4 linked regions of the Styela clava genome follow. The protein of the gene in region 2 binds, or shares a complex with, the protein of the main gene of each other region. Links are inferred from orthologs where the notes say so. Each region holds a gene or a part of one and is shown on either strand. Other genes may lie near its edges. The genes, in order: nuclear pore complex protein Nup160-like, E3 SUMO-protein ligase RanBP2-like, nuclear pore complex protein Nup85-like and nuclear pore complex protein Nup93-like.

Region 1 (8,345 bases), on a different chromosome or scaffold from region 2:
CAACATAACAGTCAATTTGTTTTTGCAAGCAGGCAATTATCTCTTCAGATGTAGACGGTGCGAACTCGCAACTAATTCTGTACCCTTGTTCATACATAGCCGAAGAGGCTTTTCGGAAATTCTTCCTCTCGATGTGAAATGCGTATAAGAGATCATAGTAATTATGAGGAGATGTCGCGAGATCCGTGCCTCTCGCACGATGCTCCAAAATGCTGACTAAATCGCCTTCTAATTCTCCATATTGGAATTCGACCAGTGTTTTGTATTTCTTATGTTCACAAAGTGAGACAGCAAGAGTTCTCAAGCAATCTTTTCTATGATCAGGATCTGGGTTTAGTACTATTGCTTTCAGTGCATTACAATGCCGCTGTAGTAGGTTACTCTGTCGAAATATACTCGACCACAAAATGGACACATTCGGATCATGCTCTTGTGATTTTGCAACTTGAATGGCATGTTCTGCCAAAGTAATCACTTGTTCAGGTAAATCTAATCTCTCAAATATCGGTAAAACTTTGGTATAATAGATAATTTCTTGAGCTGCTGGGTGGAAGTTTTCTTCATCTTCTTTCAGCAGTTTGTTAGCGAGATAATCCTCATTGCTAATCCCTGACGATGCCATGATAAAGGATTGAACGGCTTTATCAAAGTTTCCATTATGAAGATGACAGTGCGCTAGCATGTATCTTTGAGACTTTGTGCTCCAGTTGCACCAATCGCCAAGCTCTCGCTGGATGTATCTTTGAAGGACAGTGTAGTGTCCATGAGAGAGCAAAAAATCTAGCAGGGTGAGTGTAGGCCCAAGCGGCCACATAAGGTAAACGACAAAGTTGACAAAATTTGTAACCAATCCTGAATGTAGGATGTGAATACCTTGTCCTTGTTGGTTCTGCAGATATGCTTGTAAGAGCTTACCTCCATCAGATGAAATAAAGAATTCAAGTACGGTTTGGTGTCCTTGCGCAAGTGTGGATTTTGCCTCTCGGTCTATGCTAAGTGTTGAATCATGCACGGATAAAGTTTGCATGGTGCTTTCTAAAGTTGCCTGTGATATGTTTTGTGTTTGAACAGTAGATAACCAGAACATAGCTTGATAAGCTTGCACAAAACTAACAATTCGGAATCCTAATTGAGTGTCTCCTTCTTGTTGTATATGACCATCTTGCCTCTGTAGAGTTTCTAGCAATGAGGAAAGTACATAAAGCAGGATGGAGAGTTGGAAACGATTTTCAACATGTCGCATAATACAACGCGATATAAATTCAACCCCCAGTGACCCTGCTGGCCAAGATTGTAAATCTGGCATATCAAAATCGAATGCAAATTCTGAAGGGCTTAAGCAGAGCGTTAGCATTTTGACAGCAGACGAAACATCATTAATTTTGATGATAAGATTATCCCATGTGTCGTTTCCTGATGATTCTCTTACAGCACCCTGAATATCTGGCATCATATCTTCTATGACATCAGGTGGGGAATTGCCAGCCAAACATAAGCTCTGCTGTATTGACTCTACTAATTCCGCTCCTAAATAACTATGTAATTTTCCAAGGCTTTCCAATAATTGAGCTAAGTCATTGAGATTGGCATCTGTGCAATCGTCCGGCTGTAAAAATGTTCGAAAAATATCCGGATCAGATCCACGGCAAACAGCTTCAAGTGGTGAAACGGGGGCTAATATCATAAGATAACCTTTTTTGATGACGGATACAAGACTCTGTGAAGAACCGTGATTGATTATCAGCCCCAAAGAACGAGACACAACTTGCTGATATTGAATTAGATCTTGATAAAATGAGTTCCACACTGAGACTTGCAAAGCATCCTCATCCATTTCTTCATCCGGAATTATTTCTTGAATCGCATTTTGAATATGTGCGGCAACTCTTTCCTTCAATTCTTGTGGTTGGAGATACGCCATGTTCGATACGTTTGATCTCTGATGAATAGATAACGTTCGAGTCAATGCTACAGGGCTGAATTTACCTGAGCTAAATATGTAATCCATGTAGGCCTCTCCGACATCCTGATATGGAAGAAGTGGAATTTCTAGAACTGGTGATGGGTGTGAAGCGACTTCATGCCATACACCTACATCAGCAGCACACACTGAAATAGAATCTACTTCTTCAGTATCACGCCACAAAGTAAATATTTTATTTGTTTCTGTTAAAAAATAATCAACCAGATGGCGGTGTGGTAGTCCTTGTGGTGAAAGGGAAGCAAAAACAACGGACAAAAAATTAGTTTCCAAAGTACCAGTGCTTGAATCCATTTTCACTTGAAATTGAAGGAATCCTGCTTGATCCGACATACAAATATATAAGCTTATCATTCCAACTTCGTTGACAACTCTTACTTTGAGATCCACAGCTTTCGATTTGTCACCATCATCTTGAAAATGTGCTGATAGGTCATAATTCACAAGCATATCATGGGTTTCAAAAGACCAAAGTCGCAGTTTACGGTCTTTACATGCTGCAACGACGTATGGGTGATTTTCAATCACGAGTATTGCAATATCAGAGATAGTTTCAGTGCCGGCTGCTTCACCCCATGGATTAATACCGGACCATATTCGTGACATCCTTGACGCTTGGTAGATATTTGCAATAGTTGGAGGAGAGCGACTTGTCATGTTAACAAGCGCCATATTGCCTTGATTGGTTTTCAACGCAACAGCAGTGTATGGGTCACCTTTATCCGGAAGCATCGTTCTTACTGACCATTCTGTTACAAGTCCCTGAATTTTTTCGCCAAAATAGAAGTTTTCAAACTCATTTTCAAAATTGAAAGTCGCTAAATTTGAAAGTAAAGATGGATAACTGACCCCTGACTTTGGTCCAGATCGCCCAGTTGACAAAGTATCAATTGACATACGATGAACTGCATGAAGAGTACAACAAGTGATGTATAAGCGATTTTTGAACAGCGATACATCAACTCCAGGTATTATTTTAGTTCCTTCGAAACTGATGATAAAATGTGAAGAAAACAAATCCACATCGAGAGAATATTCAAAAATTTCCAGAGAATTTTTTTGAGTGCGCCAACAAATCACTCTCGTTGAATCTTGCAATTGTAAGGTCACACCACCACCGGATTCAGGAAATGTAACATTCTCGGATGCATCGACTGGACCTTCTCCTTCAGGAACTGAAATTTCTTGAGCAGGTCTTTGCGAAAACTTTGAATGTATAGGAATTTCTTGAAGAAACAAGGCTGGATCCTTTATATCCATGATGTTATATTACAAACACTATCTAAAAGAAAAAATATATAAATCATGGCGTTTACTTTGCAGTGAGTTGCTAGAAAAATAACATGTAGCACCAAATCAACATCACAAATAGTATCAATACATACCGGTAATAGTTGAATAATTAAATGGCAATAGAAGAAAGTATAGAATACTTATCAGGTTATAATCACAAATATAAAGTGTTTTGACATGACACTAATGCATTCCAAATAATAACTTTGACTAATTTTTTTGCATGGGATGATTTTTTGTACAAAAATCAAATTCAAATTTTACATTTGAAATATTAGTAGCTAAGCTAGTCATATTAGTTGGCACCAAATCGATTGGTTTTTTTAATTCTAAAAGGAATTACATTCATTCAAAAGGCAGAGGGTACAGAGTCGGTGAAATGATTGCATAAATTGTTACCCGTCACCCATTTATTCATTTTGTAAATAAATATCTTCAAATATGATGTCAAACCCAAACCACCAAAAAAATTTAAAAAAACAGTTATACAAATATTTCATCTGAAAATTGAGCTGGCCACAATATTGCTGACATTGACAATCATATTTGAAGCAAACCAGACAGTTGGAACATAAGTCACAAAAATCAAATAATTTCCACATTTTTCATAGTTTTGGTCCAGGTTTGGTAGAAAATAATTGCTTTGAGGAATTGTTCAATAAATTAATACTGTAGTTTGAGCCGAAAATCAAAATAACCTTATTAATACCAAGACTGGCGAATAAGGGTACAATTCCAACAAATAGTATTTATAACGATTTTTTATCAACTGCTGTGTTCTTAAAATTGAATTGTTATATAGCGCATTTATGATTCATGTTATGCAAATATACAATACATGCTACATAAATCAAATTGAGTAGCAAACTGAAAGAATACTAAAATACTGACACTCAAATTCAAATCATCAAATAACTTAAGTCGAACCACGATTTTCAAATTGTGATTGAAATGATCAGGTTAGTATTAGAACACTATGACTTCTGAAAACCCGCAAAATATATTCAAATGAATCGGGACCAAAAATCCAAGCCATCCTAACAATGTATTATTTTGGGTATGTTTAAAATTAGCATAGGTACATAAAATTAGCAAAAATGCTATTATGAGTTTAGAAACTATATTTATATGATTCAGGACCATTTAAGGATAAGAATTTCTCAGTGACATTTGAAATCAGTGGGAACTTTACTGTTGTATCATTTCATATATTTCCCCAAACAAAGATTTTTACCAAAATTATTTTTATGGCAAACAAAGACATATTCGGCAACAAAAATATGGCGTATGTGATATTGAGCAAATTATCAAAATTTAACAGATATATATTATTTACAGATACCATTTAACAGCAATATCATTATTAACAAAACGGCTTCGAATTATAGAAAAGCATCATTGATTGACAAGACTAGACAATGCGATACCATTTATCATACAGTCGCCATTGACTGGCACAACATTTTGATCAGACGATTGTTCTTTTCGTTTATTCGAACAATCAGTTACCATTTTATTCAATTCTCCTGCATCATAACCTAGTAATTCTTTCAAATTGCAAACAAATTTATAAACGAAGCGCTTTGAAGGTACTTTACTGATCATATCGCCATCGTAATAATAACGCAGAGCCCGAGAAAGTTTTTCATAATTCATAGTGGGCTTGCCTTTTCTTTCACCCCATTTTTGAGCCACCATTTCGGGTTGTAAAAATTTGAATTCCCCTTCATCTCCCAACCACATTATGACGTGTCGTTCGTCTGCGTCTGTTAAAAGTTCCAACAAAAATTGCCAAAGTTGAATTTGGCCTCCGCTGTTGTGAGAACGTGTACTGATTGGAGCACCTTTGTCTGATGAAATTATAGCCGGCGTTCTTCTTGGAGCCCGCCGTGCGTAATTGCCTGATATGTTCGTTTGTTGATCATTTAGAACTAAATTTAAAGCCATATTTTCAGAATCGTTTTCTATTTCTACATTATGTTCACCATCGTTCGTTGATAATCTTTTCAAAAACGACAAGTGTGACCATAAAATATTTCCATATGGCAGTTTCACAAAAAATTCTTCAATCGTTAATGAACATAATTTCTTTCCATCCATTCTAGAATTTTTAATGACAGAAGCATCTAAATTAAATTCCTTTGCCACCCAGACCATCCAGCGAAATACTTGATCTGATGTCCATTCCATTGGGTCACAAGGAATACCAAGTTCCTCTTTATTTTCTGATGAATCTTCGTTATTAGAATGTCCATTTTCTGAGAGTCCACTTTGTTGACCGTTCAACGCTTGAATGTCTTCATCGGTCATATTTTTCGTAATTTCAACAATAGTCAATCGCCCATTATCAGTTTGTACTCGAATACTGAGTTCGACACTTCCCGAAACCTTTACGCCTTGCTGATACAAACTCAGTTGTGGATTAAGTGGAATATCTTGTAAATAAATTTCATAATCACTCAAATCCGCAGATTGTAAACGATTTTCAACCAATTGCTGAATATTCAATATTTCCACTCCAGTATCCAGTTCAATAGTGATAACAGAATCAGTGTGGGATCCATTATGTAACTTCGCTGGCATCCCAGATTTCCGATTCACTTTTCGTCTTTTTTGTTCCATTTCTATTTAGTTTAGACAAGTGAGATTATTCTATGACTGTATAACATAAAACATTTCAGGAAATTAGCGAAAACCATATCTTTACTGGTAACGTTATATTATTAAGAATAATATTATGCTTGGCATACCGCTACCACTTCACCAAATGATAGTTCATACACAGTATACAGGTATATCAGAACAAACGAATGACCTTCATCGCTAATTCTGTAACTGGTTAGCTAAACGAATACCGGTACCGGTATGGTTTATGCTGGAAACTAGGTGAGAATTGTTGACTGGCCAATTCGTCCCAGTTCTATCACAACATAATTTTTCCTATTCTTAAGATATTTATATCTACATACTGGTATTCTACTATTAATCTACCGTATATACGTATACGCAGATATGAATAGTAAATAAACAGATGAATAAAACTGCTGAACTAGAGTTCAAAAAAACTTCAAAATTTGGGTGAGCGAACACGTACTACTTCTTTTATCAATACCTTTCCATCTAAAATCTGTACGTTTCAAACCTTACTCGGGGTTTAGTTCGCTCTCCCGATTCTATAATCAGTTACTTTTATCTTATTATTTCTGATTATGGAGTCGAAATAAACTTATAACCTAAATATATACTTTTACTTATTTTCGAATAATATTAGAATGTTGAATTTTTTTTTAAATGGATCCACAATGTGGATTATTCAAGAAGTAAACAATCGATAAATTAAGTATAAATAAAGACATATTGTGTACCACAAGTGAACAAACATTAAGAACATATATATCAGTAATATCAAAATAATTCCATTAGATATAAGAAGTTAGCCATGCTTAACCCAACAAGAGAGATATGCTCAAATATATGGACACGTTTGAAGTAAATGAAAGTAATATCCTTCTAAAGAAAATTTTTATCTTCATGCACTGAAAATTTCAGAGCAATACATACATTGGTCCAGGAATTAAAGAGAAAAGCGACTTTATAGGATTAGGTAACAAGTGGACGTGGCTTTCCACACGTTTTCTCACCACTGAGGAGGCGGAGGCACTGCCTCCACCCCTAATGCCACTTCCCAAAAAATTCCCGTTACCCGGGCAAACGGTCTCTAAACGCCAAAACAGCTCGTGTGACTAGATCGATGACTTGATTGACAGGTAGCCTACTCCGGGCCACTAAAAGCCTGTTTTGTCCCACTTTCAATGTGAATTGAAATACTAAGTGATTTAAATCACTTATCCATTACGGTACCAGAGCAAAATAAAAATAAATATCGATTCCCCGATAATCATATGCGGTAACTAACCAGTACCTGAAATTCGTTCGAAGAACGGTTCTTCCTTGTCATATAAGAACTCAATTTATTTCCTCTTATCAAATAAAAAAAAAATAAGGTAGGCAACAAAATTTATGTTGTTTACATCAGAACTGTAACGAAAAGCTGAGAGCGTAATTCACTGCGGTACCTTACCAGTACTGCAGGGGTCTGGTATAGTTTAGTACCACATCCACTTCTAGTTGGCCTGGCTCATCAATTTTTGCATATGTCAATCCTAACCCCCACCTGACTACGTCACCGAAAAATTACGTCATTCCTACATCACAGTGGCGCAATAAGGCCCACCGAAGTATGCGGATGGTCGTCCAAAGCACGCAGACAATCACCAGAAATCGAGCAAGCTATTTCTCTCGTTTTCTCGTCGCAACGATCACGATAGGAGAAAGATCGCGTTATCGGCGGCGCATATGCTATTTTGGGCGATCGTAATTATACTTTGGCAATCCCTATGACGTGATGGTGACGTCGTAGTGACGTAATTTTTGGATGGCATAGTCAGGTGGGGGGTTAGGAATAAGATATCGTCACGCTAATAACCGAATTGCGTAAGTCATTTTTAGCAGTTTTGAGAAAAACGTAAAAAACTTTCTAATGATATTGTTATGTCATTGAGAGTCAATAATTTGTCATGGTTCAATATTTTGATCGTAGCTGGATTTAAGTTAATTTGTATGACGCAGTTAAATGACGTCATAATGGCGCACTGTGACTTGGGCAGAAATGTGACTGTGACTTGGGGACATACGCAATTTTGGGGGCTCCTGAAGTATGCGAACCAAGTTGGCGGACATCGGAATGTAATATGTGTACTAGGTTAGGGTTAGGCCATAATTTTAGGTACAAATACTACGAGAGGCACTTGGCTAGTCTTTGAACTCATAGTAGGACTAAAATCGATCGATGTTGTTGTAGGACTATCATCGATCACCATTTGCTATTCCAGACAAACACCTATTAAAAGCAGAAAACCTTATGACATGTTTCCTCGATGTACGCTTCAATAATATCATTGGCGTAGTTGAACCGCCCAAACCTGGAACTTTGCTGAGTCTGAAAAAGTCTAGAGTTTGGTAAACGGGACGCGTGTAGAGCGCAACTCCTGGAATTCCTTTAGGGCAAGGT
Region 2 (7,920 bases):
TGTACAAATTATTGAAATCAGATTAGAAGAAGGAAAAATGTTGATACAAAAATTATGTATAGCCATAATTTAACAAAGTGCAGTTTAAAAATTTTCATCCTCAAAAGCATATAAAAAATGCATAACTTACCAAGCCAGAAATTCCAATGCTTCGTTGTATTTTTCTTGCTCGAAGCATAACCAAACATTGCGACATAAACTTATCAACAACATAGAATATGCCTTAATAGATTCATCTGTAACATCATCATCACTCATATGCTCTGCATAATCCTAATGAACAAGAATATAGAAATGATGTTTGACAAAGCTAGGGAATTGAAATTCCTTTGTGCTAGAATATTTCTGTTGTGTTCCATTCAAATTGAGAAGTCTACAATATACAGCTGAAACAGGTAAACTACGGCCCGCAGGACAAATTCGGCCAATTCATTCTGGCCCGCCTGATGCTGCCACAGACAAACTAAACCAAATTTTGATGTTCAAGTGGAAAAATAGCTCAAGGAATTTGTTGAGATTACGACTAACTTTAGTTTTGGCACAAGCCTAATGTTTTCTACTTTTGCAAAACTGTTAATATTGTTCATAAAATTTAACTTGTTACGTCACACTTACATGGCCCGTGAGTGAGTGAGTGAGATTTGTTACCCGTAATACCAACAAGTACATTAATAATAAGCCGAATAGATAGGAATGAAACCACAAACATTGTTCAGATGCAATTCCTAACAATTCATTCGACAGTATTTTTCTAGCTTCATACCTTGCATGTATCAACCAGACATTGGTTCCATTCCATATCCTTTTCCACAACTTTCGGTATTGAATAGTCATGTTCTATTTTTTCCACGAAAGCAAAAGCTTCATTTAGTCTTTCTTGATTCTGAGAAGCAAATTTAATAATTCAGTAATTTCTTTATCAAACATAGAAAACATTTTTTGCCACACACCTTCAAAAAAGTAACGTATTCAACATAAAGTGACGGATCATTTGGCCGCTTCTTCAGTTCTTGAAGAATAGTCTCTTCGAGTCTGGAAGAAGGAGCTTCTTGTGCAAGATATAGTTCCATCTAAAATAGAAAGTCATTGAAATAAGTGTAGCCAAGTTACAACAATGGCAGTAGTCCACAATATATCACATGAGATATACCTACTCAAAGTGATAATTGGAAAAATGTGAATTAATTAACAAAATAACAATATTATTCATTTTTATATATCAAATTTTAGTTTGATCATTCATAGGACATGGGATAAACTTTTGAGCGGTGTACCGAAATATTTATTCTAACGTTCATTATGATTGTAAAACAGTTTTTTACAATTGAATTAGATACATTTTCTGACGCACAAAAACATGTAGAAAACGTAACTGTTATCTAAAACGTTCATACCTTTAGTTTGTAGACTTGTGGATGATTAGGTAAAGCAACTGCCGCTTTATCCAACCAAACTTGTGCTCGATTTGGATTCTGTGTTGGTCCAGGATTAATGTGCATTTCTGCTACCTTCAACATCAGCTCGTACTGAAATATAACAAAGAAGTCCATGACATAATTGAACATATCAGTGTTTTTCTCTTTGTGCTCCTTTGCAGGTGACAAGTTATGAACACTGGTTTTGATTAGGGATAATGATATAATCACTCTTTTTTTCAATCCCTGGAGTCCCAATCCATCAGGAGTCCCAGTGCATCTTGAAATATTGCTAAAATCCGGAACCGTATATTAGCAGTTTTTGCTAGAAATACTGGTATATTATATCGTTAATAACAGTGATCAAATATTCAAAACACAAAACTTATTTTACAGCAATGGGACAGATAGATATTTTTTATATTTGAAAATTTTCAATAATTCATTCAAGAAGTATTCTATTTTGTCATTAGTTGATTATTGAAAACAAGAATAAACTCATTAAAACAAAAATAATGATCAGATACATTTCAGAAATGCATAACAAGTATAAGCAATGAAGGATAAAAGTTTGTTTTATTCGTGGTATTGATTCAAGTATGGGACAAGGAAAAGTGATCAACCAAATTCACTGATCAATAACTTTGGACAAACGTGACTGTATAAATGAACAAGCTGAAACTAAATTTCGAAAATTATCATTGTATTACTAATATTACATGCCACCATACAGTTGCTTGCTTGATATCAAATTTCTGATATGATAAGACACTGAAACTAAATTCAGATAAGCAAATGGTATAATGAATCAATGCTTGAATATAGAGTTCAGGTCGAGGTAGACTTATGAACTACCGGTAACTACTGTAATTATTTCCTTGGTGGAATTGATGGAACTTTCATTAACAGTTCCATTTAAAACTGAAGCAACAAGCCAATAAGTAGACAACAAAAGTTCAAAAGAAAATACACACCTGCTGTGGTTTGACCCGCAGTGAGCTTTTGTAACAAGCAAGAGCGGCATCGCTTCTGTCTAATTTTTCATAAATTTCGCCAAGTAGTTTGTGAGCTTTTGCATCCTTGTCATAAATAACAAGATATCTAGTAATCCATTTTGAAGCTTTCTCATATTCCCCAACCTCATTCCACCATCGACCAAAATTGAGCCCCTTTATGGAAAGCTGGAAAATGATAAATAAAAAGCATGATTTACAACTTATTAATGACAGTGTTGAGTGATTGGGTTCCTTCTCTGAGTAAATGTACAAACTTCAGAAAATTTCACTTATAGCATAATCGTTTAACAGACACCAATCGAAATGAAACAAGTCGATAGGCGCCCAGGATAACCGTTGATGCATTCATTTTGAGTGGTGCACGTCTTGTTGGTATCTTTTTCATCAGCGATATACTGCGGCGTATAATTAATCACGTTCACTAAAATTTATATTTTCAAGGTAGTTTACGAAATAATGGCGACAAATTAAGAAAGATCTAGTAATTTCTCAATGATTATCACGTTTTTCACTGATGCCATGGAAATAAAACAACAATCCGGACTTTCGGTGAAAAGCATATTACTAGGGTGACTGCATAACCCACTTTAGAAATTTTACCCGGTTGGGTCCGGAAGTTTAGACAGCTACTGCTATACAGACAGAACAATTGAGAATAAGGGTCTCCTAATGCGGAGATCCAATATATCTGATGAACAATCATAATTTGTGTTATTGCAATATGATAATTACACACTGTCTGATTCCGTCGGTTCCCTAAGAATTAGGAAAATCTAGAAAAAAACAATTCCCTCACATTTTTACAATGCAACTTCTAAAATAGATGTAATGCACTAATACAACAAGGTAAACTACTTACTTCTTTTTCAGATTTTGCATATCTCACTGCTTTTGATACAAGCGCTTCAACTTGTTCAATTGATCTTGACATTAGTAGTGGTAAATTTAAATTTAATGTAGTTTAGATACAACTAATAAAATAAGAATTTACATCATCAAAAGCCAATCAAGGTATAGTGAATCATCATTATGCTTCAGCCAAATTAAATAATTGATGAATACTGCAATGCTTTATTGCACTATTTTTTTTTGACACTTGATATGTATTGTCAAAAATATATCTATAAAAAAACAACCTTATGGTGGTATTGTAACAACCTTATGGTGGTATTCTATTATCCAAACAGATAAAACAGTATTTGGTTGATTTTATACACAATAGATAGTGATTAGGGTTATTCAGGCTATTTACATTAAAGAAAACAAACAGATCTGATAGTAAAATCAATAAATCAAACAAGTATCAACATTGCCCCCTATATATATTTCGGATTAGCGGCATGTATATCTACGACTGAGGACTTCAGCCTCCTGAGCTCCCGGTCTCGGGGAAAAAAAGTCCAATGCAAATAGAAATAAATACTCGCACTAAGAGATTTTCGCCATACATAACAGTATGCTAGTTTAAATTTAAGTAAATAAAACTTAATAAATCTTGTATACAACAAAAAATGACATGAAGATAATTTTAATAATACGCAGTTTACAAATTTTATAAATTGGACAAAAACACTGCATTTTCCTTTTCATGACGATAATGAAGTCATTCAAATTGATTTAACTCAAACAAGAATTTAAAAGTAATTAGCACAGGATACAAGACAGCATATGAAGCAACCTGATTAAACTTATGTCTTATAGTATAATCAGGCTATGCATAAAGTATGAAAGCCCATCAAAAATCACTGAGCACATTCACTAGCAAGTTTATTCCCAAGGTTTACTTCACGATCTACACTTTTCGCATTTATTATTATAATAATTACGGTAGTCAATTTTTATAAGCTATATTTTAATAACCTTGAAGAGGGAAAAATCTTGGAAATATTGCTGTGAAATCTTACAGTGGGATGTATCTCTACCAAGAAAATTCAGAAGTGAAATGGTTGAAGACTGGATTGCATGAAATCGAAAGATATATTGTTTTAAATTGAGCAAAATACATTATATGAGCAACAGAAAAGACCGACTAAAAAATAAAAGGTATTCATATTTTCAATATGAAATAAATAATGAAAATTTGATCTGATAATGAAATTTAAAGCTACACTAATATAAGAAAGAAGATCTATCGATTAGCACGTTTTTTCATGATCCAAAAAAATATAGAAGGAAACAAATATCGGAGCCAAACTACTAGTCTTAATTTTAAAGTCGCAATTGAAACTTCTTCTTGATTATTGCGGATCGCGCTTACAACTTGTTTCGCAATATTACAAGGCTCCATTCCACTTTCAGTAGTGGCATCCATTTTACCGTAATTGGTACCATCCCCAGTCATGGCATTTAGAGACAAACTTGTTTTAACATATCCAGGATAAACAGAGCAGACATTTATTCCAAAACGTGCCACTTCGGAACGCAAACAAGAAAAAAATGCTGTGCATGCAAATTTAGATGCACTGTATGCTGATCGATGTGGAATTGATATTTGTCCCTGTATACTGTTTATAGACAAAATGTGAGCTTTGTATTTTTCACAACTATGTGGCAACTTAATCATACTAGGTAAAAGACGTGTTGTCAAGGAGACATGCCCAAAGTAATTTGTTTCCATCAACTTTTTGTGAACATCCATGGAAGTACTCAGAATGTTACCACGATATGACATCCCAGCATTGTTAATTAATATATGAATTCCGTCAGGAAATTTACGATTCACTGAATCAACAGCATCCTGGATGCTCTGTTCATTTGAAATATCTAGAGGAATCACGCAAGGTTCAGGCCTATCTTCACAATTGTTCATATTAATCAACTCATTTTTTAATTCTTCCAATTTGTCTACATTCCTGGAACATAAAATCACTTGACAACCAGCTTTAAAAAATTCTTTAGCACATTCTTTTCCAATACCAGAACTCGCCCCCGTTATAACAACCACTTTGTCACTTCCCAATGAAGTGAATTGGCGGAAGGCATATTTTAAAGAAAATAAAGCAGCAGGTGCTATTAGTGCAGCTAAATATAAAGCAGTCTCATATGACAGGTCCATCTCTCGACCCGTATTAAAAAAAACTGTAAAATGGAATTTGGATAACGTAAATGTAAATGCCAACAGGTGAGAGCCTATAACAGGCAGCCTGTGTTCAAAAATATTAGAAAACAAAAAAAATATATCAGTATATTGAAATACTCTAAGCCTGACATGTGCAAACTACGGACCGTGAGCCAAATCCGGCTTGTTTGGTGATACAATCTGGCCACCTGATGCTGACATAAATTTCTACTTGCTTTACCCAATTCTGCGTAAGTTGTATTTTAGTTTGCTACAGACTTTCATTCAATAATGAAACGTTAACAAAACTTTACGTTTTCTCGCTCACTCGATTTCATGACATGCTTTTCGCACTTTTTTCTTTCTCTTCGTGCACTTGTTGTTGGCCACAGCCCATCGAATTGGGCCTCGGCCCATCAGGCTATGGGCCGCGGCCCATCAAGTTGTGTAAAGAAACTATTCACTTGGCTAACACAGACAGTCCCCGAACTCATAATAGAACTATAATGTAAAAAATCTGAATTTTTTTGTCCTAACCCTAACCTGGAACACATACTACAGGAGTATATTTTTTTGGTTCGAATATTGACAGTTTGGTAAAAATTAAAAATTTTGTTAAGATAATCGATTTTTTCCTGATGGGGCCGCGGCCCATCAAGCTATGGGCCACGGCCCATGTGACCCAATTAGATGGGCCGTGGCCCCGGCCCATAGGCCGTAGAGGAGTCACCACTCCTGTAGGATTTCATGACATGCTTTTCACACTTTTTTCTTTCTCTTCGTGCACTTGTTGTGTGCGATCATGGGAAAACATGAGGAACAGACATATATCTCAAAGTGTCTGGTGGAACAGACAACCTAAAACTGCCTTGGAATGAAATTACAAATACTGAAATAGGACTACAAATAGATCTCCAAACTTAAATGAAAAAACGTCCGTTTGCTCAAACAAATTCTGAAATTCATGATACTGTGATAAGATGAAACTAGGAAGCCCGTAGACGGATGTAATTTTCTTGCACTGCATCATCCATTATTAAGACGATTTGTGCAGCTCAATAATGTTGTGAAGGCAATAGTAAAGAAGAAATCGATCAACAAGATTTGCTTTATCATTGCCAGGTATGTTGGTTAAGTTAGGGAAAAGCGTGTTAACATGTTTGGGATATTAAAGAGGCCATTACAGCATTAGGTAATAATTGAAGCTAATTGGGAAAAATTAGAAGAAAAAAATCAGCTTCCTCTCCCAAAAGAGGGGTGTCTGATCATCTGTAAAATGGGTGTCTCTGGAACGAGACAATGTCGCTCGATCTGTATAGTGTGCCATACGGTAATGCTGGTAATGCTGTAGTGATTTTTATTATCACCAAATAGCAACTATGAATTTTGGTGATATGGCAGGCTAATGGCTGAATGGCCATGGCCGATGCACATCTGCACATCTGCACATCGCGATTGATCTTATTGATACAGGTAAGCTATATGTTATTAGGCTACAGTTTTAATGCTGTAATGCAGTAATGTGACAAGTATTACCATCTAGTTAACACATTCAGGTATTTCATGCATTTGTCAGATTTATAGTCATACCGGTATCAGGTGCTCTCGTTCACGAGACAAATGTCAGAATGTGTTTATTGTATGATATGGATCCAACTGTCCAACAAGATATCTCGTAATCGGCTGAGCGGAGGACTGTACAGCCCAGTTTAATAAATTTAAGTAGGCCCTACCGTAATTTTGTTTTTGGTACCGGTATTCTTTCTCATGTTTTAAACTTGGAAGTTTTACTCGCTCTATAGAATTCTCTATTTTTAATCTGTACCGCTGTACCGGTACCGTACTGTATTAATGTGGAATTTTCAAAATAAATTACCGGAACTGGGACCGGTATGGCTGTATGGCGGTATCTATCTTTCAGTCTTTCTATTTTCTCCCAAACCGATCGCAACACAGTACCGGTATGGCGGTATCTATCTTTCAGTCTTTCTATTTTCTCCCAAACCGATCGTAACACAGTACTGTTACCGTTACCGGTAAGGTAACACTGTACGGTACCGGTAACAGGTGTATATTATCATAATAATATTATGCTAATAATAGCCAAAGATCAGAACCGCATACACCTGGTACCGTTTTATGATTTCAGTTGAACTATTGATATACACCTGGCTCATTTCAGCCATTGGCAGATTGGCGATTGGCCACATTGGACATAGAGAAACTCTCGCGCCATTATGACAAGGGGAACAGGTTGTTTCCCCGACCCTTGACCCTGGAATATTTTTACTATGTAATTTCTCATTTTTTTGGACTTTGTTATATCTCTGTGGCCACACATACCGGTACCTTTGGATGGCTGAACACGAAGCACTTGTGTTATGTAAAAACCCTCCAGCTCACACGTATTATGTAGCACGCATAGGTCATA
Region 3 (7,890 bases), on a different chromosome or scaffold from region 2:
TACTATGAACTCTTTTGAATTTGAATGGAAACTTGCGGAACGCCTGTACAGGCAGAAAGAACCCTGCGGAACCATGGTTGAAGACCACTGTATTGAGATATGGGATTTGCAACAGATGATTTGAGAAGGCTTGTTCGTTATCAATTTACTATAAGCTGAAGTCGACATTTTTATGAAGTCAGTTTTAAATGGTTGTTGAGGTAGAATCTGACCTCACAGCCTAGATTTTGGGAGTAGTAACAAAATCGTTCCACTCGTGTTTCCGCTGTCCTAATGAGCCACATTGACTTCTATCTTGCACAATAAACCAACATTATTTCACAAAAATGCTTATAACTAGTCACAATCCAGTCCGTTATTCCTCTGCCCCACTTTTTACAGTACATCTTGCATAAGATGAAAAACTTAGAACAAGGGTAAACCAGAACAACCCCATCCATACATGCAAAACACGGAAACAATTCAGTACAAAGCATTATATTGAGCAAAGAATTACCAATTCTCAAAAAACAGGCAGCACATTGCAAAGATTAATCAAGCACAAAAATAAGTTGAAACTAATTTTCATGGAATGTTTTACCATGAACAGGGCCTGGAAAGGAGCCACTGATACCACCTGGGCCCGTGGGTATAAAACCCGACCTGACCGGAGCCCGACTGATTAACTGGATTTGCAGGCAGAGATCGAATCGAACCAAAAATTTCATATTTTATTTAGGAGTTCTTCGAATTCCACACATAGTTTTAGTATATATTTTTTATAAACATATATTTATTTCAAAAAAAAGTCAGCGATAGAGAAGCCCGACCCGAACGTAATGATCAACATTTCAGGCCTGACCTGACCCGAATTTCGGATCGGGCTTCAGATCTTACCGGTAGTTCCAATTGACCCTCTTCAATTAGAAAGATATGGTAAAATGAGAGAAAAACATTTCACTGGTAGCAAAGATGGTGAAACAGAATATTTTATTCTGGAAAATTATAATTTTGAACAATTTGGAGCATCATCGTTTTATTCCTGGAATGCGGAAATAGAAAACAGTTAAAATTACTGCATTAATCTTTCCTGCATTTTCAAATTAAACTCATCGAAATGTCTTTGCTAAACACGACTCACTTTAAAAACATTCGTTATTTAAATATTTTTAGCAGATAATCCGACTTTGTCCATCCCTGGTTTGAACATTCTTTACCCCGCATTGACAATAGCTCTGGCTAAATTCCTTGACATATTTAGTTTAAGTAATTCCAGTCGTTTTTGTCGAGTTTCTTTCTCAGAGTCCGATAATTCTGAGTCTAAATTGATTTGGTCGAGAGTGTTTGATTTAGCGAGTAACTTGGCAGAGTCTGAAGCGTTGAACACGATCTCCTCACACTCAAGAAGAGGGAGACAGTCAATGAGTAGCGACGGCCAAAACTCAACAGGCGCTATATTTGAGATGAGTAGGTTGAGAAGTAGATTCCCAGATTCCTTGTGCATGCCTTCGGCGTAAAGTTTGTGAAAATCCCGATATTTTCCTAAAAACGTCAATCGATCTGATAACAGAATTGAAGGTCCTAAATAATCCAGCAAATCGATATGAGTGAATTCACCAGTTCGAGCGTATTCCGACAACATTTTTTCTGCAATTCGCATCGTTAAGGCTGAATCATTGCATTTTAAACACCACGATAAAGCAGCGCCCAAACGATTTCGCTGTAGCGCTGATACACTCATTTGTCGACAGATACTTTGTGCTTCTGCAAGCAATCCTCGATTTTGGCAAATACGTAACAATTTTGAAGCTTTTTTCTCGCTTGTAATTGGAATTTTTCGCACAAATAGAGAGAGATAGTTATTCTCGTTCTCCGAGCATGCTGACAAATAATCAATCGTAACTCTCCATAGACTTTCATGTGACATGAGACTCGTTGCGTACTCCAGAATCAAAAGTTCATGAAAATCGACCCCAAACTCTAATTTCTTTTGCGACAGAATCCCAAGATGGTAAAAAATGTCGGATAAATGAGCAGCCAACCACCAGTTACTCAACTGCTGACTGCATTCTTTAATAACAGAATACGGATCGAGTTCGAAGGCCGCAAGTAAAATATGATCAAAAGCTCCGAGGTGTTCATGTCCACCGCACGATTCAACAGATATTTTACTATGATGCTGTAACTCCATGACGCTGACGGTCGGTTGTGTGAAAAGTAGTCTCGATATCAACATTTGATGCCATCCGCCATAATCGGGATTCTCAAAAACAGCGTCTTCTCCGCATAAAATCATCGCAATTTCTTGTAATTCCTTGTTAACATTAAACTCTCCTTCGTCAAACCTACGACGACACTCCTCTTGCCAGTGGTTCCATTTCATCTCGAATTCGACGACTGATTGTCCGCGATAGTACGTAAAATGTGGCATTTTTCGCAGCAACTCTTCCATACTTAAAAATGCGTTATCTTTTTGACTCTGGCACTCTGGGTGAAGTTTCAACATGTTTTGGGCGTCGTCCGTTCGACCTTGAAGGACGAGACACTTGATGGTGCTCCAGTACAATTCATGATTATATGGTTGTTCCGTTTGAATGCATTCTTCCATAAAATCATCCGCTTGGGTGAAATGAAACTTGCACCATTCCGCAAGACGAGACAATACAACTCCCGCCGGGGAATTTTCGATGAAAAGTATTTCGCATAAATTCCAGATTATTTCCATCATACTCAGCAGTTCTAATTGCATGACCAATTGAACGTCCTCCATTATACTTTCCTCAATTTTAGATTTTATTTCGAGAACGCAAGCTCGCAAAACAGAACGATATTTCCGACTGAATTTCACAAGTAACTGTTGACCTTGACTACTTTTTTGAAAGTCATTTCTCGCTTCTTGCACTTCGATAAAAATTCGATGTGATTCGTTCAAAAGCTTCCGAGTAATGTCTAAATGCATTTCATTACTCCAGCGTACCTCGTGTATAAGAATTGGCAAATGAGCAAGTTGATTGGGTCGTTCTGACCCCACGTCACCCCCAGCTGCGACCATCATTTGATTTCCGACCCCCCAGCTACTTAAAATCCCACACGGATCAAAAAGTTTGTCGTTTATGTTCATCTCATTGACAAATTCCTCATTGTCAGCCATCTTGTTTTTCTATGATTGCCAAATCCAATATAGTAATATCAAAAAATTGTTTTAGTGTTTCAACTGAAAATATATAAAGAACCATAATGTAAATTAAAATAATACTGTAAAATAGGATTTCATATTTCAACATTTATTTATACCAATCAGAAATGGTAGTGAAAAACCACGAGCTAACAATTATACGGCAGCAATCTATTTTTTAAATCTGATATTAAAATCACTACAAATACTGAAATATTTTGGTTTTTAACTGAGAATTTGCACAAGACTGAAATGTTAAGATGGGATTTAATAACATTTATTCCTCTGTCTGTCTGTAGACTTGTACAGACAACTGGAAGATTGACTTATGCAGTGTGCTTAAAGCATTGGATTTAGGGCACATTTCTACAATTCCAAGAATAGCCCCCATATTGTCATTGGAAGACCTCATTTCTTTCTGCAATTATAACAGTGAGAGTGAACCCCTTCTTTATGAAACAGTCAGGGCCTGCATATCGACTCAACGTGGCAAACTGGCACCGCGTAATAAACTAGAAGGAAGCCGTCACCATTGGATTCCTCGAGAAAAAATAATTTAATTTTGAAACGGTAGAGGAAAAGCATAAGACCGGAAGTTAGGCAATATGGCAGAAATCCAATATTTCAAATCTGAGGCCTTTTTTATTTATACTTATTCAGTTAAAATTAGCAAATTATGCAAAAAACTTACGATATTATAAACCTACTTATTATTCAAATTATTGCTTAATATTATTGCACATAAATTTCGTAATTCCATTCAAAGGGTTTGTCTTGTCTACTACATATTTTTTCTCTACACTAGGGCCATTTTTATCTTCTTTTTAAGGAAGTAAGGAGAGCAATAGGGTCTAGTATAGTTTAGTACCACAAGTACTTCCGGAGGGCGTAGCATAACGAATTTTGCATATGTTATTCCTAACCCCCACCTGACTATGCCATCCAAAAATTATGTCACTACGACGTCACCATCACGTCATAGGGCTTGCTGAAGTATAATTACGATTGCCCGAAATGGCATCTGCGCCGCCAATCTCGCAAACGCCCGCGATCTCTCTCTTATTGGGATCGTTGTGGCGAGAGAACGAGAGAAATAGCTTGCTCAATTTCGGGTGATTGTCTACGCGTTTCGGACGACTATCCGCATACTTTGGTGGGCCTTATTACGCCACTGTGACTTCGAAATGACCTAATTTTTCGGTGATATAGTCAGGTGAGGGTTAGAATTGACTTATGCAAAAATTGTTAAGCCAGGCCAACTAGAAGTGCGTGTGGTACTAAACTATACCAGACCCGAGCAATATCTGGTGTTTATTTTCAAATATGATAAAATTTCTCATAATCCAAACATTATATCGCACTATTGATAATAAAAGTAAAATTACATTCAAATCTACAGTTGTTAGGCTATATGACTAAATATAAAGGTTCAGGAAAATTCAATAATATACAAGAATCATAATTTATTGCAAACAAAATGTATTCTAATTAATTTCAATAATAAAGTAAACAAAATCATAAATTTTCTGGGTAAACTCGCAAGACATAAAAATATGTGACACAAACTCAGGTTTTTTATTGCATGATAAACGCATTTATTTTTCTGCAACTCTTTTGACAGTTTGATCTCTGGTATATTTATATTACTGGTGGAAATGCTGAAAAAGGTCTCAAATCTGATATTAAAATCACTATCTGCATAGGCCTATATCTACATATCTAGCCAGCACAAAATTGGGGAGTGGAAGTGGTGATTCCTCTACGGCCCATGGGCCGGGGCCACGGCCCATCGAATTGGGCCTCGGCCCATCAGGCTATGGGCCGCGGCCCATCAAGTTGTGCAAAGGGACTATTCACTTGGCTAACACAGAAGTCCCCAAACTCATAATAGAACTATAATGTGGAAAATCTGAACAAAATTTTGTCCTAACCCTAACCTGGTACACAGACTACAGGAGTATCCTTTTCTGTAGCCTGGTATTTTGCTTTATTTTTATATGAAGGCTTATCGTAAGAAAAAAAATTGGTGGCATCCAACGATTTTTTTTTGGTTCGAATATTTACAATTTTGTGAAAATTGAAAATTTTGGTAAGATAATTGAACTTTTCTTGATGGGGCCACGGCCCATGTGGCCCAATTAGATGGGCCGTGGCCCCGGCCCATGGGCCGTAGAGGAATCACCACCCCTGTAGAAATTGGGTTTGCCAAATCGCAGAATGGATAAATGACTGAAGACGGCTGTATAGACGTCCTGTTAAAAATATTGTCAAACGAATATAAAAAGGAATATGAATTTTCGGCAAAAATAAAGTGTAATTGAAGTTATACAATTCTATTTTACACTTTTCAACTCGAATATATACGGTAATTACTAAATTGAGGAAGCCGTAATATGTAAGCCAAAGGAAAAACTGAAGCACAACAGTATGATATGCGCGCCAACGGAATCAATGTGCCAAAAGATGGCGCTAATACATCACAAATGCATAGGATTCCATGTGCCAAAGAAAGAAAATGAATAAAACGATTTCGCTGGCATTGCGGTGGCCGTTGAACGACCTAGGATAGGATAGGATAGAATTTACATATTTATCCCGGGGGAAAGGAAAGCCGATAAGACGGCTTACTGATGACCCCCAAAGGTCGTATCGTTGCCCCTCAGTCATATACCGAAAACTATTTTTTTGATAATTGTTTATGTGTCCATAAATTGTTTTCTTGATTTGACAAAATGAAAATGAAATAAACTCTCCCTCTCTCGCTTATCCATATGGCGAACCACGACCTCTCGTCCGGTTACCATTCCGAGTCGGGTATGGGATTAGTTAAATTGTTTGTTTTCGGAAGCATGGACTTGGTGGTGGAGGAAGCCGTAACCGACCAGCGGTTACGTGAACCACCCAACGACGGCGAGGAGTCCAGCAATCCTCTCGCACATAATCATCCCTGCATGGGATTCGAACCTGCGAACCCATGCAGAGTAATTAGAGGTGCGGTGGCGAGCGTATTCCTAACGCTTAGCCCGTTGAGCCACACCGCCGCGCCCATACCTAATACTACAGTAGGGTTGCCAACCGTCCTTCATTTCAAAGGACAATCTTTTAATTAAGATTTTTGGTCCTTGCCTTTTTTAGCATTTAGAAAAGATGCTAACTGTCCAATTTTATTAACATTGTTTGGGTCATTGTTAAATAAACATAAAATAAAAAAACACATAAAATTTGTTTTAATATATCTTTTCAGCTTATATATCGTTTTTATTCAATTGTTTTATATTGTTCTTTCCTGCAAGATACAAAATAAATGATGACGGTAATCTATGTCCTTTATCGAAACTTTTCTTAGTTGGCAACCCTATACTACAGCGAATGACGTTTTATTGATCTTTTACTAGTTCAGGGCAAATATAGCAATGGATTGCCAATTTGCTGATTTCGAGCACGCGCATTTCATACCTAGGATTGTGTTTTTGCTTAATTATTTGTGAGTTGCTTGTCGAGTGCATGACCCCCCCTTGAAAATTGCTGGCTACGCCCCTGCACCTTCTAATGACAAAAAGCTCATTATTTCTTCAGCAGGGATATTCGGCACCTAATCGCGTTTCTAGTGTCAAATCAATATTTCCAATATAGACTTTCATCTCTTCGCGATAAACATCAATACCTACCTCGGGGAGCTACTCAATTGGCAACTTAAAATTGATGTGTTCGTTAGAATTTTTCTTACTGTTGTTTGCAATAAATCGCTTTTCTGCGCGACTCGTACATTTAAAATGTTTAGTGCTTGAAGCCCTGTGATTAAACTATGCATTTAAGTTTTGTTTGCAAAGTGAAATATATTGTCTGGAATGACCCTTGTTACTCCGCCTGTCATGACTGAAGTCGTTTTCTTCCATTGGCGAGAGTGACACCTGACACCGGGACGCCCAAATGTACCTCAAAGTCCTGCTTTTGTTAATATTCTATGTATGACTTTTTTCATCATAACTCTACTCCCTTCACACTGAAATGCATTTTTTCGGCATATGTGAAAAGATAAACTACCGACCAATTGACTGGGCCCCAGAAATTTTAAAGCTCTATGTAGGGATCTTCGATGAAAAAATTTGGGTAGTCCTGCCCTATCCCATGAATCTTCTAAAAAATTAAACGTCTACCGCCACGTCGAGTAACGCGGCGAAAATCGTATGACAGACATGAAAATATTTTTCTTTGAATTTTTAATATAAAATAAATAAAACATTGCAATATGTAATATAAATGAAACTTTAAAATAAACAGACGTAAACAGAATGATAAATAAAAATCAAGTACGAGGTTCAAAACACAGGAAAATTATCTACAAACGATACAGTGAAACAATTTGAACTTTGAAGGTTTTCCAAGCATTTCGACTATCTTATTTTTCCGTACAAAGGGGCGTCTCTTAACTTAACGTTAAAATATACCAAAAAACTTCACATCAGGGTCGTGCAGGCTCTGCCAGTCTTCATTATGATCGCTAAAAGCATTTTATGACCCTAAATCGGAGTCTTTATAATATGAAATATTTAAAATAGCGATAGCTTTTTATGGTCAAGTCCATTTTAAACCAACAACTGGCTATCTAATCCCATACCCGAAATGGATTGGTAACCGGTCGAGATGACATGGTTCGTCATATGACTGAGCCGTCTTATCGTCTTTCCTAAGGGATAAATAAGTGAATCATATCCCATGGTCATACGGGGTCGCTT
Region 4 (7,359 bases), on a different chromosome or scaffold from region 2:
ATACGGTGCAGTCGTATACGTACCGTACGTACGGTACCGTACTGGGGTACGGCCAGTCTGGATTTCATGGCCTTTTTGAACGAGAAATCGGGCGTGCAATCAGAAATTCCCGCGTGCAAATAAGAATTACTGGCGTGCAATTATAGCTCACGACGTGCAAAACAACTGCACTCGCGTGCAACTGACTTTGACATCAGATACCTCTCAATACATCCGCGTAAAATTACCGGTATCGGATAAAAAATACGTTGAATCAGAGAAAAAATGGACGTTTGACCTTTGACCCCAAACATTATTTCTACAGTTTGTCGCTAATTTTGAGAGTGTTTGTGCGACTTTGGATACCGGTACTGTTCAGTACATCCGCGTAAAATTATTGGATAAAAAATACGTTGAACCAGAGCAAAATGGACATACTTTGTCATTAATTTTGGTAGTGTTTTTACCTAGAATTAATGGATAAAAAATATGTCAAATTAGAGCAAAATGGACGTTTGACCTTTGACCCCAAACATTATTTTCATACTTTGTCACTAATTTTGGGAGTGTTTGAGCAACTTTAGATACCGGTACTGTTCAGTACATTCGTGTAAAATTATTGTATGAAAAATACGCTGAATCAGAGCCGTACTTGGCCATTAGTGCGGAGGCGATCTTTTCGTCCATAACTATTCTCACGGGATTCCTATTTCCTATCATTCAACACGATATGGACCTTTCCCCGAGCATCGACTTCCTTGTTTACTTCGTGACATTGGCCAATCAGCAAGATGCAAAAAAGGACGTAACAATGAGAGGAATTTTTCGCGGGTCAAAGCCGTAGGCTTGCACGTAATTGACAAAAATCAATTCCGTAATTACGGCAAAATCAATTACGTAATGACCCCGTAATTGTGATATTTTTCCACGCATTTAAACCTATCATAACAACCAATTGAATCCACTTCTTTTCCGAATGGGACATTGAAGTTGGGTTTTCATATTCTTGGCAGTACTACACGCCATCGGCAGATGTTAAAGACAAATATCAAGGAGTGAATTCAAATTAATTTTATTCTGATTTTTATCTTTTGTGTTAGCTTTGATTTCCTTTATCACCTTCGCAAATTAACCGTCCCATTTTTATGCGATCAATTTTATTTTATCATTACCGACACTGGTATACGGTTATTTATGGAAACGATAGTTTTTTAAAACCACCTTAGTACTGAATAAAAATTAAGGGTTTCTAATTTATTAACCAACGACGAGCGTATTCACTCATTTGATTATACTTGCGATTTCCTCGCGACGAAGACTTGTTTTTGCAGCGTCTTCTGCATTATCCGACATTACTGCCTTGTTAGCATTTTATAATAATAATTATTGATGTCGACTTATTGACGATATTCCGATTACCATGCTTCATTTTACATTTAATCATTTCGCGGACTGAATGTTTAAAACATTATTTGCGATAAATTTAGATTAAATATTATTTATTTGAGTATAGTTTAAATATCGAACTTATATGATATGCCTTCTCCGAAAATACAAAAGTTATATCGCAAAACAATGCATTTTGTGACATTTATTTTACACTCACGACATTAATTTGCTAACTCAAGTCGGCGATCCTATCGGCCAAGATTGACACAAGTTTGGTCGAGTGCCTTGGTATTCAAGTAGACGATAAATCAAAATAAGTTGCCGCATTTGGTAAGACAGTTAATCATACATGGCCGAAATATTGAGAGGAATTGTGAAAAACATCATGCGCAAGACCAAGTCCGGACTGATATATAACGATAAAACCGTTAACAGAACATCAAGATTTTGTAATAGAAAATGGATCTCGCACAGAATAAACACACTGGCTCATATTTGATTATATATGATAGCAGTTAAATTTTTTTGCGGTCCGCGAGGAATCCGTCGTTTTGCTGTTTCTCTGCCGTCTCAATCGCTTTACCGATGCCGAGAAGACGAAGTTGCGTTGGTTCATTACGCAATCTCTCTTTTGTCGTCATATTGCTATTTGATAAGCGCGACATTAATTATCACGGCGAGGTATTGGCGCGAGTGATCAATCGCTCTTTTGGCTTATTTGGTTCCAATTCGTCGCGAAAGCTCTTCGTTAAATTTCACAAAATCGTCGTGTTGAAAGGTTATGGATATTTTCCTGTTTATACCCAAGTATGAAATAAAACAGCCAAAAACAGTATGATATTCCATGTTCATATATCAAGTGTTGATATTAACATTAAAGAATGGTTAAGCATTGCTAATCCACACTTGGTGGGGAATTCCCACTATTTAAACGCGTGACTATAAAATAAAATGAAATAGAAACGGAACATATATACCATAAGTAACGGAAAACTGGAACAAGTAAATAATAAATAAAAGTAAAATGGATACAAATGTTTGATAGACCATGTTTGAAAGATTGATCTCCTGCGTTCATTAGTCATTTCACCCGAAGAAGTTGAAACCGGGCGTGTTAGCGTCCATCGGTCTTAACACAATTCTTCCCCCTATCTACGGTTATTATGTACATTGGCCATGGCCATGCTAGATAAGATGCGAGAGAAGTTGAAACCAGGTGTGTTGGCGTCAATCGGTCTTAACGCAATTCTATCCCTTATCTACGGTTAAGTTACGGGAGAAGTTAAAACCAGGTGTGTTGGCGTCAAACGGTCTTAACGCAATTCTATCCCCTATCTACGGTTAAGTTACGGGAGAAGTTAAAACCAGGTGTGTTAGCGTCAATCGGTCTCAACGCAATTCTATCTTTTATCTACGGTTAAGTTACGGGAGAAGTTAAAACCAGGTGTGTTGGCGTCAAACGGCCCTACTCAGTTCTTCCCCCTTAACTACGTTAATAATTTACATTGGCCATGCCAGAGAAGTTGATAATAGGTTAGTGAATGGCAACGCGTCATGCCCTCCTTCACCTACGTAACAAGAGAGAGAAAAACGGCTGCGAATACCGGAACTCTAACTTCTACTTGTTGAGCTTTCATTTTTCGCAATCGACGAAATTGACTGCTTTGAAGAAAGCTCGTTTCAATGCAATAATTACGACTTTACGGAATTCGTAACTTCCCTTCCGTAACTCAAAATAATTACGTAATTCCGTAAATCCGTAAATTACGTGCAAGCCTAGTCAAAGGTTGGGGAAAGGTCCATGGTCTTTTTGCTTCGCAATATTTCGATCAGACCAAATCTTGCAGGCTGGTATTTGTCGACAATTGTGGAGTTATAATATTTTGGCATCTTTATATTACTGGATTATTGATTTTAAAACCATTTAAACCGATTTACATTGGTGAGCAATTGCAAATTTTCGGCGTGCAAAATTGATTTCGCTCGCGTGCATTTTTGCGGAGCGCTAGCGCCCTCGGGCGTGCACCTGCCATGGAATCCAGTCTGGGGGTACGGTAGGCCTACCTACTGCTGTACTGTGAAAATACTGCAATACTGGTACCGTACCTCTAGTCTCTCTTCTCTGCAAAATAGGATGCACCCACCACCTTCTTCTTTTGCATCTATTTTTTTTTTTATCCTTGCGTCTTTTCAGCCACAACAGTAATCCCAATTTTTGATGTTTGCTCAAAGCCATCGCCAAACCACAGAACAAAGCACCGGAACTCAACTCAAATCTCAGACAACGCAGCGCGTCAACGCAAAGGAATGTTTCCTCGAGAATTCGTTGCGTTGACGCAGTGCGCCAAAATGATGCGTTAACGCAACAACGCAAGTTTACTTAAACAATTAAAGAATAACGCACTGGTGTGAACAGATGTGAATGGGCCCTTACATTGTATTGTAAAAAACAATTTTGCAACGAACGCATAAACGGTAAAATAATAGTGTCAAACGTTTAAACAGCGCAGTTATGAATTTAGTATCTTGTAATTTATTATTCATAAAATTATCCCAGTTTTTCGGCTGATATAAGATTAACTAAACTTTGATTTTCTAAGTTCTGTAATCCCGCCCAAAATCAGGACAGACAACAGCTATACTCTGACTCCCACTACCGGTGAATCTACATGGCTGATTAAAAAAAATTTATTTGTCACAAGACACAATAACTAACAGGAATAAGGCAAAGCTCTGCGACGTGGACGCGTTCGGCAATATTTTGCTGTTTTGTGAGTAATATGTTTCAGTTTAGGATACATTTTTTATTTAGGCGTTATGTAGATGCAGGTTTTTTTGCTATAATATATATATTTAGATAGTTTACTTTGAATATTCCGGAGTACCGGTACCGTACACAACAAAGTTGGAGAATTCTTGCTTATTGTGCTTTTGTTGTTGTTCAACCTCTGTACCACTTACCGGTAGACTACCTGGCTACAGACTTATCGCAGAACCGAAACCGGTACCGTACCGGCACGTGCTATTAATTCCAATGTTTATTTAACTGCTGAGCTGTGTTTAAATTGTTGATATCATAGTAGACTAGCCTACAGTGCACTGATTTTCCAATGAAACACTTTTTGACATAAGTTACCGTAAGTCATTTCCAATATAAAGTTTTAGATTATAGTAATTAATATTCAACCTAAAATCATGTCTGGTGTTGAACTTGACGATATTTTACAACAAGCAGAACGACTGACAGCGGATCTTGATGGTGGTAACGAGTTACCAAGAGTCCAGCGTAACCTTCAACAAATTTTGGACGCTGGACAAAGACTCTGTTCTGGAACCCCAGCAACCCATGATAATGCAGAAGTCAGGGCTTCATTGCTTCTTAGTAGACGTGGGCATGAAATTCCGCAAATTTCTGATAGACTGAGGACGTTAACATCAGCTGCACAGACCTTAGAGCCATTGGAACCAGTATGTGATACTGATATTGAAGGCTTTCTTCGAAATGAACGAGAAAATGCTATACTTGCTGTTCTAGAAGAACAAAAAAGTAAGGCTTTTCAAGCTGTTGAAAAATATTATTGGCAATCTAGAATGAGTGAGTGGGAAAAACAAAAGCAGAGTATACTTGGGAAGCTTATTGGCAGCGATGGAACTTTGAATTTCACCCAAGAATTTTCTGAAGCTGGAAGAGTAGTTGATGACTACAATACTTCTCGTTCGGTTTCTCGGAGTGCTATGGATACTTGGGAAGTTGGTTATGCACAACAAGTTTACATCTATAATGAAAAAGTATTATCTGGATCGATTCGACCAAATTTCGTAGATTTGTGTCAAATAACGGCTGAAAAAATACGAGATGAAAATATTATTTCGCTATGGAATATGGTGAAATATGTCCTGAATGCTGAAATATCTGTAGCGGACAAATCTGTCCTTGCAAGAAGATTGTCAAAAAATGTAATCTCTTCTGTCGTTGGCCAAGCTCGAAGTTATTTAGAAGACATGTACAGAGATTACATGATGAAATGTGTGCATCAGCGCCCTCATGTGGCACAACTTGGTGGACGACCAGGCACTATCAATCTTGTTAAAAGTTTTTTGAAGGTAAAGCCTCCGCATCAAGTTCATGAATACAGAAATATCGATTGGGCGATTTTGTATTTTTGTCTTCGATGCGGAGATCTCGAAGCTGCTTGTGAAGTTGCGCAATCTTTGGATGGGACTTTCCCAGAGCTTTCAGGTTGGATTAACGAGTATGCTAAAGATCGTACTTTGTCTCCAACTTCTGAAAATAAATTATTATTACAATACAAAAGATCAATTCGAAATGCTGGAAATCCATATGCAATCGCTATATTTTGTATTCTCGGTCATTGCGATTTTATGGAGTCACATACAGAAATCGCTGGAACAACTGATGACTATTTATGGGTAAAGTTATGTCAAGTTGTCGTTGAAAAGTCCTCTTCAACGCAATCCGAAGTTTTGACCTTGCTAACGCTTCAAAAACTTCTCTCCGATTATGGAGAATCCCACTTCAACGCTACTTCAAACCCTCTACTGTATTTCCAAGTATTGTTTTTGACTTACCAATTTGAAGCAGCGATTGAATTTTTGTCTCGATTTCCGAGTTTACGATGCCATGCATTGCATGTAGCACTAGCGCTTCACGAAGCAAATCTATTGGTGAAAGCAACCAATCTACATGACGGGTTGATCAGTTCCAAGCCATCTGACCAATCTCAATTCACGAATGTACAACGACTAAATTTACCAAGATTGTTAATGATGTACACTCGGAAATTTGAGTTGACTGACCCAAGAGAGGCGTTAAATTACTTGTACTTTCTCAGAGATGAGAGACATGAAAATGAGAGTCTCTTCTTGCAATGTACGAGCGAGCTGATTCGTGAAACAGGCGAATTCTCGATGCTTTTAGGGGGTTTGAATCCTGATGGTAGCCGGCGCCCTGGATTAGTGGATAGATATTGTGCTGGTGACACAAAGGAATTGATTGCAAAAGTCGCTGCAGATACGGAAGCCAAAGGTCTCTTTGAAGATGCCATCCGATTGTATGACCTATGTGGAAATTATGATAATGTTATTACGCTTCTAAATAGGCTTATGTGTCCTCTACTACCGTCTGCCGACCGTGCCCATTCTGACCGAGTTCGTATCAAAGATCTTGCTGTTTCAATTGCTCAGAGATATCGCTCACTTGCCGTTGAGCTTTCACAGGATCTGAGTTCCACGTTTTACGTTCTGCTTGACCTCCTGACCTTTTTTGACCAGTATCACCTTCGTCGTTACGACACCGCAATGGATATTATAAATCAACTTCATATCTTGCCAACTAAGCCTGAGCAAGTTCAAGACAGGGTGAGAAATTTTTCTGCGTTTTCCGAGGAAGTTCGTCAAAACATTGGGGAAATTCTGCTAGCTACGATGAACATGTTAGCATCTCAGAAAAAGGCTCTGCAAAGCAATAAAATCTTAGAAGTTGGGGCGACACGTTCTTACGCAAGTGCTTTACTGACTTTTGCTGGAATGCTTCCATACCAGTTACCTGGAGATATCACATCAAAACTAGTGCAAATTGAGGTTGATATGATGTGAGAGGACATATTATAAGTACACTGAAATGTCCAAAATCGATTGAATATTCGAGACCATTCGAAATGGGTTGGCAAATGTATGACTTAAGAGGTATCAGAATATTTTCATTTGGATATTTGTCAATTTGGGTATTTGACATCTGACACTATCAATTTACCATGATTTCTGCAAATTTCTCTGCTGAATATGATATTCCACATTCAAAAATATTATCACAGAATGTATGGCTTTTATTAATTTTGGCCTGTAAGCATAAGGTATGTTGCTTGAATGCCAAACACTATCCATTTTGATCAACTTGGTACAATCACACTGATATCAAAATTTACATTGTAAACATTGACGCTTGGCAACAAATAAGTGCTAATGCTAGTC

Evidence for each region.
Region 1: E3 SUMO-protein ligase RanBP2-like (region 2) and nuclear pore complex protein Nup160-like share a complex: the UniProt entries of both Homo sapiens proteins name them as parts of the nuclear pore complex. The link is inferred for Styela clava from reciprocal best matches to the Homo sapiens genes RANBP2 and NUP160.
Region 3: E3 SUMO-protein ligase RanBP2-like (region 2) and nuclear pore complex protein Nup85-like share a complex: the UniProt entries of both Homo sapiens proteins name them as parts of the nuclear pore complex. The link is inferred for Styela clava from reciprocal best matches to the Homo sapiens genes RANBP2 and NUP85.
Region 4: E3 SUMO-protein ligase RanBP2-like (region 2) and nuclear pore complex protein Nup93-like share a complex: the UniProt entries of both Homo sapiens proteins name them as parts of the nuclear pore complex. The link is inferred for Styela clava from reciprocal best matches to the Homo sapiens genes RANBP2 and NUP93.

What each region holds. Positions count from the first base shown.
Region 1 is NC_135250.1:6,156,529-6,164,873, forward strand, and holds the start of nuclear pore complex protein Nup160-like, read right to left. Parts: upstream 3,264-8,345; 5' UTR 3,242-3,263; coding exon 1-3,241. Other genes in the region: GA-binding protein alpha chain-like, read right to left, coding at 4,670-5,896. UniProt on the Homo sapiens protein: Functions as a component of the nuclear pore complex (NPC). Involved in poly(A)+ RNA transport.
Region 2 is NC_135258.1:17,858,004-17,865,923, forward strand, and holds the start of E3 SUMO-protein ligase RanBP2-like, read right to left. Parts: upstream 3,405-7,920; 5' UTR 3,363-3,404; coding exon 3,291-3,362; intron 2,597-3,290; coding exon 2,390-2,596; intron 1,527-2,389; coding exon 1,395-1,526; intron 1,071-1,394; coding exon 951-1,070; intron 884-950; coding exon 764-883; intron 274-763; coding exon 131-273; intron 1-130. Other genes in the region: dehydrogenase/reductase SDR family protein 7-like, read right to left, coding at 4,560-5,486. UniProt on the Homo sapiens protein: E3 SUMO-protein ligase which facilitates SUMO1 and SUMO2 conjugation by UBE2I. Involved in transport factor (Ran-GTP, karyopherin)-mediated protein import via the F-G repeat-containing domain which acts as a docking site for substrates.
Region 3 is NC_135263.1:560,386-568,275, forward strand, and holds nuclear pore complex protein Nup85-like, read right to left. Parts: upstream 3,225-7,890; 5' UTR 3,131-3,224; coding exon 1,193-3,130; 3' UTR 462-1,192; downstream 1-461. UniProt on the Homo sapiens protein: Essential component of the nuclear pore complex (NPC) that seems to be required for NPC assembly and maintenance. As part of the NPC Nup107-160 subcomplex plays a role in RNA export and in tethering NUP96/Nup98 and NUP153 to the nucleus.
Region 4 is NC_135264.1:9,869,623-9,876,981, forward strand, and holds the start of nuclear pore complex protein Nup93-like, read left to right. Parts: upstream 1-4,349; 5' UTR 4,350-4,563; coding exon 4,564-6,984; 3' UTR 6,985-7,359. UniProt on the Homo sapiens protein: Plays a role in the nuclear pore complex (NPC) assembly and/or maintenance. May anchor nucleoporins, but not NUP153 and TPR, to the NPC. During renal development, regulates podocyte migration and proliferation through SMAD4 signaling.